Linked DNA regions of Drosophila melanogaster. The protein of the gene in region 1 interacts with the protein of each later gene in a pairwise test. Each region holds a gene or a part of one and is shown in the gene's direction. Other genes may lie near its edges.

The links.
Region 2: the proteins of PGRP-LB (region 1) and BG642312 interact in a two-hybrid assay, tested with the Drosophila melanogaster proteins (one large-scale study listed by BioGRID).

What each region holds. Positions count from the first base shown.
Region 1 is NT_033777.3:11,458,906-11,462,664, reverse strand, and holds the start of PGRP-LB (peptidoglycan recognition protein LB), read left to right. Parts: upstream 1-2,112; coding exon 2,113-2,218; intron 2,219-3,759. UniProt on the Drosophila melanogaster protein: N-acetylmuramyl-L-alanine amidase involved in innate immunity by degrading bacterial peptidoglycans (PGN). Probably plays a scavenger role by digesting biologically active PGN into biologically inactive fragments. Has no direct bacteriolytic activity.
Region 2 is NT_037436.4:6,231,918-6,235,279, reverse strand, and holds BG642312 (BG642312), read left to right. Parts: upstream 1-1,898; 5' UTR 1,899-1,943; exon of another isoform or gene 1,944-1,980; intron 1,981-2,289; 5' UTR 2,290-2,358; coding exon 2,359-2,443; intron 2,444-2,507; coding exon 2,508-2,656; 3' UTR 2,657-2,811; downstream 2,812-3,362. Other genes in the region: CG10226 (uncharacterized protein), read left to right, coding at 1-89, 162-518, 579-779; CG42714 (uncharacterized protein), read left to right, coding at 1,242-1,275, 1,336-1,503, 1,559-1,662; CG13299 (uncharacterized protein), read left to right, coding at 2,956-3,016, 3,080-3,357.

The sequences.
Region 1 (3,759 bases):
CGAAAATGTCAGCGGACAAGGTGCGTGGGGCAGCTGGGGGAAGCTGTGGATTTTGGGGCGCGTAAAATGTAAAATATTCCAACAAAGTACTCCTTATGTCATATGACAGACGACAAACTTTGGCAATAAATCAAACAACAGGCGACGAGCGCTGTTTGTAGGCGGTACAGCTTCAGCTGAATGCGGTTCAGCTCAGCTCAGTTCAGTTCACTTCGGTTTTAGCCTTCTGTGCGGGCATACAAAAGTGGGCGGTTGAGGAGGGGGTGGGGCGTGGCAAGAGAGGCACACGTGGAATACAGAAGCAGTGAAATGCCAAGATGCCACCGCTGTATAGACTTAATACACTTTCGGCACACACAAATTCACTTCCTTAATTGAAATTTTAATTTGAATACTTTGGCAAAGTTTTGGCCGACAGCCAGCTAGCGAGTGAGACAGCTCAGGCAGCAATAACAAACAGCCAAAAAGTCGCCGAAATCCAAATTCCCCGCCACCCATTTCAGGACCAATACCCCCCACCCAGCCCCTTACACAATTTCGCCCCGCGGATCCTTTGCGCTGGCAATCTCGCACAGGCTCAGCGAGTTTTCAATTTACGCGCCTCGCGAGTCGTTTGTCATTTTATGCGTCCTAATATATGGCATGTGCGTGCCGCTACAAGGATACCAGCAGCAGTATCCTTCGCCACCGCCTGGTATCCCCCCATGCTCAATTTTGAGGGGATACCAACCAGCAAGGCGTAACTAATCAGCACAGGCAATGATATGGCGACATCTGATGAATTGTTCGCACAGCCGAAGATTTCAATTGGGGGTGTTGGCATATACATATGTATATATATCTAAATGAATGTGCACGCAGAGAAAATTAATGTATCACTTACTATCACGATCGAAAAGCACTCCATTAAGTCCAAATCTGATGCCAAAATTAAATAAGGTCAGTTACTTTAAAATGAAAAAAAAACCCCCAACGTTATCTTTCAGCCGACGGGGAAGAGAAAAAAAAAAACCCGGCCCTTGAATTCGTATCATTAAATTACTACTTCTCATTATTGCCTGATATTCACAGTTGGCTCTCGGGAGCCATTTATAACGATTGCGATTATTCCGATAGGGAAAATGAAATATTGAAAACAGATAGGACGGCCAGTCAGTATCCGCGTGGAAATTATAGTGTGTTTCACTTTGCGCTATAGATAGATATAGATAGACTCTCCCACTTGCATGGCCAACGCCATCAAAGAGTTTTCATTGTGGCCCCGGGGATTCCCAGACGAGTGCAATTACTTTTGTTAATTGTAATACACACAACCCCAACCAACCAACCAACGCAGAGACACCCGTTTATTTGTCTAATGTGCGAGAGTGTAAAGCTTCTGGCTCGATAATGTTTACCTGGGTGAATACCCCACCACCACCTGGAGCTGGAGCTGGTGCTGGGGGGGGGGGGGTTATAAAAGAAGGCCTGTGATTTTGCGTGTGATTTTTGCCCCCCCTCGAAATTTTTTACTGGGAGAGCGTGCCAAGGCGTAGTTAGTGAGCGGCACTTAATACCCTGATAAGATGTGCGATTAGCGGGCAGCCAGTCGAATGGTAAGTTATGAGCACAATGGTCAGCGCTTCCAGCTGCCAAAAGTCGAATGCGCAATGCTCTAACCGGGGATTTTCGATCGGTGATAATTCAATTGATTTTTATCGCATATTAATTGTATACCCGATTTATTTGGGGGATTTTTGTAGGACTTAATGCATTTTCTAAACAAACATCTCGTATTAATGAGTACAGATATATACGAAACATTTTTCGCTGTGTGTTTATCTGATTTGCACACCTGGGTCGTTAAAATATATTTATTAGCATTGTATATCCACCTGCTTGGGCCCATCAAATTGACGACCCCATGCACACGAAAATAATTGTTAAACGTATTTATTTTTCATTTAACCTGCGGATTTAAGAACTTCCAAGTGGTGGACCTCTCGAAGAAAGAAGAGCAACTCAAGATTACAAGACCTAATCAACGGTCCCCTTGTTGCCAACGAACATAGAAAACTGCCTCTAAGACTTCGGACTTCATTTCAGTTAGCGTCAAAGACATTGGCAAACAACATGGGCGACAAGGTGTCTGGATCCGTCTCCACTTCTGGCCCAACTTCCTTGGCAATCCTCATGGACTCGGAGCAATTGGAGCAGCAACAGCTGGCCACAAGTTGTGGTAAGTAGCGCCGCAACTATTTTGCTGCTGAAAACAATTCAACAATTTCCAAGAGCGTTTGAGAGAAATTTCCCCTTTTTGAAGTGTAATAAATATTCCAATGCTGGGCGAAGGGGGGGGGGCGGTGTGGTCTGCGTGTTTACCTTGCCACAAGTATAAACAGCAAATAAAATAAGACAAGTAGAGGTTGGAGGAGAAAATGAGTCCGGTGATTTGGACTTCCTTTGGACGAGGCGCCAGAACGCATCTGGCGGTTATCCCCCGAAATTTTCGACTCGAAAAACCTGTGTGCACACAAAGAAAAAAAAACTAATTCAGATTAAGAGCGAGATGAAGATGAAGATGGAATGTGCTTGTTCGCCATAAATCGACGACGGAAAATAAAACGCTGTTAATTTGTCTAGCCATCCGATCTCGGCACTCCGACTAAAGCAATTTAATACCAGCCGCATTTGCAGCGGGATTCCCCCAAAAAAATCAAAGCGATCCCACCAAGGGGCATCCCCGATTCGAAAATACAACAAAAACAAAAATTAAATCACACGAATACATATTATAAAAGAGTATGTCCGGTGCCGGTGGTCAAAGAAAGCAAATGACACAGAGAACGACGGGGGCAGTGATGCTGTCACAGCAACCAGCCATAAAAAATCACGGTTTTGAGTTTTGGAATCGTAAACAACTGAAATCGTGCGAAAAGAATATCAGCTTTTATAGGAATATAATTTAAATAAGATATCATGTATCCTTACGTGTAAAACAAAGTAAACCCAAACTATTGAAACGATTCAAGTTGGTTCTTATAAAGGATTCAGACTAAAAGAATAATCTTTCCACTATGAACATAAAAAATGAGAATACATTTCAAAAATGAATTCAATTAAAAATCTGTATCTAAGTTAATATAAAGATTTCATTGAAATGGTTAATTTACATTTTTAAATAAGGAATTTCGTACGAAGAAATGTCACATCTGCGAGCTGTCAACCTTTGTTTTAACTCTAGTCTGTGACTATGTATTTAGATGGCATCAGCCGAATTTCCTGACTGCAAAAAATATTCAACAATTCAACTGTCACCTCCAGCTATGGAAATTGTTCGTTCATTTATCAAAACACAAGAAGTAAAACCGCAGATGTGAGCTCAAAAACGCAATATTACCATTTAAAAAAGAGATGGTTAAAGCAACGGATGACTCATAGATTTCATTTTGGGCGAATAACAGTGACATTAATAAATCGCCACAGGGAGATTCAAAAATAACGTAAACTTAGCCATTGGCAAATGCTAAGTTCAGTTCGCAGCTGTCTGATTATTTGCACAACCAAAGTCTTGAGAATTGGTTAAAAAAAAAAAAGTTCCCCATAGCTGATTTATGCCCTCGATAGAGGGTTCTTATCAGCAGCGACCTTCGAGAATGACCGATATTGAACTAGTTGAATGAGTGTCATTCTGATCCGTATGATCAGCGATCCGTATCACGGTAATCTAATCGTCACTTGCCAAAACAGTTGGGATTGTTAATCACTCACGCTTGTCGG
Region 2 (3,362 bases), on another chromosome or scaffold:
CGGTTGCACTGGTGGGTGCGTCGGGATCGGGAAAATCCACATGCGTTCAGCTATTGATGCGGTACTATGATCCCGATGAGGGCAAGATTGTAAGTAGTTTTAAAAAGAAGTTATATCAAATTAGGCATTATATTTGATATTAACTTTTCTTTCCTTTTCAGCTCATAGATCAAGAGAGCATTCACCACGACATGGACCTAAAAACTCTGCGTCGTCGCCTGGGCATTGTGTCCCAGGAACCTTCACTTTTCGAGAAGTCTATCGCCGATAATATTGGCTATGGAGATACCTCGCGACAGGTGCCCATGCAGCAAATAATTGAGGCGGCCAAAATGGCCAATGCTCATGAGTTCATTATGTCTCTGCCTGCTCAGTATGATACGGTTTTGGGTTCCAAGGGCACCCAATTATCCGGTGGGCAAAAGCAAAGAATTGCAATTGCTCGAGCGATGGTAAGGAATCCCAAGATCCTTCTGCTGGATGAAGCCACCTCTGCGCTGGACTTCCAAAGTGAAAGGGTAAGAAACTATAACTTAAATTACTACAATTTTCATCAAATATTTGTATCCCCTTTTCAGGTGGTTCAACAAGCTTTGGACTCGGCATGTTCAGGACGAACATGTATTGTAATCGCCCATCGCCTGTCCACCATCCAAAATGCCAATGTGATTTGTGTAATTCAAGCCGGAAAGATAGTGGAGCAGGGATCTCACTCCCAACTTCTGGCCAAGAATGGCATTTATTCCAAGCTCTATCGCTGTCAGACGAAAGCCTCTTGAAAAGACTACGGAAAGACCAAAAGAAATCATTAAAATTAAGTTGGAAAACATTTTTCTAGTACCACAATGAGGCACGAAAGTATGCAGTGAATTTTTCTTAGCTGTTAGTTGGGACAAAAACCAATCTAATTTGGCCATAAGCAAAATAGTTGTTAAATAAATGAACATATAGATAAAGAATTATCTTAAACTTTTTCACTTTAGCAGGATGGCAAAACAAAAGTTTGAGGTGTGGGATCAATCTATATCACAAATTATTGTGACATGTATCGGTACCTTAATTCAATTTACGGTGCTTGTGTTTTATCTTATCTTTTAATATGGCAAAATTCGTTCATCGTTGTTTAAATTTGTGATAAGATAGGATAGTAAGCCTAACCGTTTATTTTTATTCACGCCGATCTTAATTAGTTGCCGCATTGCTATTTTTCATTTCATAGCGAAAGGTATTAGTTTTCCAGAATGAACGCAGTTGGCATTTTCATAATATGTCTGGGTGAGATTTTTTAAGTTATAGTAAGTAGTGACTTTGTAAAGATGTCCTTTCTAAAAACAGCATGTTCCCTTGGAGCGAATATTCCTCCAAAACCGTGCCAAGTGGAAACAAATTGTGGTACGGTGAATGAGACAAGTTCCATTTGCGGATTGGATGAGGAAATGGGTTGTATACGAAAATTTCCATCCAAGTGTCATTTGGATATAGCATTTTGCCATGAAGGAAAAAGTAAGTCCGATTATTAAACTTTAATCTCGCATATTATTAAATTATTTCATTTCAGATTTCACCGACTTTAATGAGGAATATTGCTCAATGGAATCGTATCTCTGTGAGATTTCACCCACATACGAACGCTGGACCATTTTCTTCGGGCATGAGAATTAATTCTAATTGAAAGTGCGAAAATTTGCTGCATTACGCTTATATAACAGAATTTATCTGTTTTCAAATTAAATTTTTTTCTCATTTCTAGAGTATTTTTACATAATATGAAATTAGTCCCGCATGATTGAAATGTTTTGGTTTAATTTCAACAACCAGAAAAGGGGAAAGAAAACAGCGTATAAATAAGAGAATTTGTGGGTATAAATATCAGTATACATTCTTCAAGACAGAGGAAGCCCTCTCTACGAACTCAGGACGCTCTTCTTTGGCCACCAGAAAGAGTGAGTGAAGACTTGGCTAATCGCCGACGACATACGTGTAAGTTCATTAGGTAGCATTTCAATAAACAATCAATCAACGCGCAACGGGCCATTCACGTGCCAGGCGACGTTGACTACGTCAAAGACCGGTAGGAGGTAACCGATGCCCAGCAGCGTTTTTTCCCACTCAGTGAGACAGAACGACGCCTCGAGCCTTTTATACGAATCTTAATTCGGATTTTTTGTGATCTTTTTTTATATTTGAGTTTTTTTTCTTTGCGTTATTTTTGGGTCTTCGACGGGTGCTTTGCATAATCTCTCGCCGCGGCGCCAATGCCCATTGGCCTCCTCCTTCAACGCCAATCAGTGAAGAGCTCCAGACTGGCACACTTGCACATATAAAAAGTGGACCCAACCGAATTTTGCTTGTCAGTTAATGCCCATCAATCGAATCAATCCCAGCACAGCCATGAGAAGCGCGTCGCTTAAGTTCTATCTGATATGTCTGCTAGTTATCTGCGGTTAGTGTTATTAACTAAAAATGTTATGCATCAAATGCAATTACCTGTGTCCGAATTTTTGCAGTGATCGGTTGGAGTGCTGGAGCACCGAGTCCGCAACTTTCACGTAAGGAACTCGAGGATCGATATCGACAAAAGCCCCCGGTGCCTGATGAGCGAGATGCGGATGCAGAATTGGATAGTGCCTACGATCGGAATACCCGAAGACCTTGAAGTGCAAATCTGAAAGGCTGGAGACACCCAACGCCCACAATTGATTTGTGGTTCTGTGTGGAGTGCCACTTTTTATGTCGTATTCAGGGTTATGGCTATGTAGTTCTAAGCTTAGGCAAAATGTACAAGCGTAAAATAAAGCAATTACTTGGGTGAAACGTGCGCATCGTTACTTTCCATTCTATCACGTAGAATGTGGGGCGACATCCGACGTCGGCTGGCGTCTATAAAATATGAACTCTCTGGCATTCGATTCAGTCAGTTATCAATCTCCGGCTAGTGCGAAAAGTACAATCAAAATGACCTCAGAAAGCAAGATGGTTTTGCTCTTCCTTATCGGATGTCTCGTCATGCAGACAAGTGAGTCACTGGATCATCTGGTATCATGACATTATTTTAAACCTAACTGCATTTTCTTTCAAGTCAACGCCCTGCCATTCGATAGATTCAGCCAGGAGGATGACGAACGGAACAACGAGATCAGCGGCGAATGGTTCAAGAAACCCATCCTCAGGTTCGATCGTCTTTTTGCCACCGAAGAATCACCGTCGGGAAGTCGGAAAGAAGTGAGAAGGCCCAGCAGAAGCGACAAGGGTGAAACCACGGAGAGCTCCAAGCACGCCCACTCCATGATCACCTCCATGCTCGGATTCGTGAGCAGTGTCATCAACTTTGGCAGGACCTTCATAAGGGATCAATAGAAAAT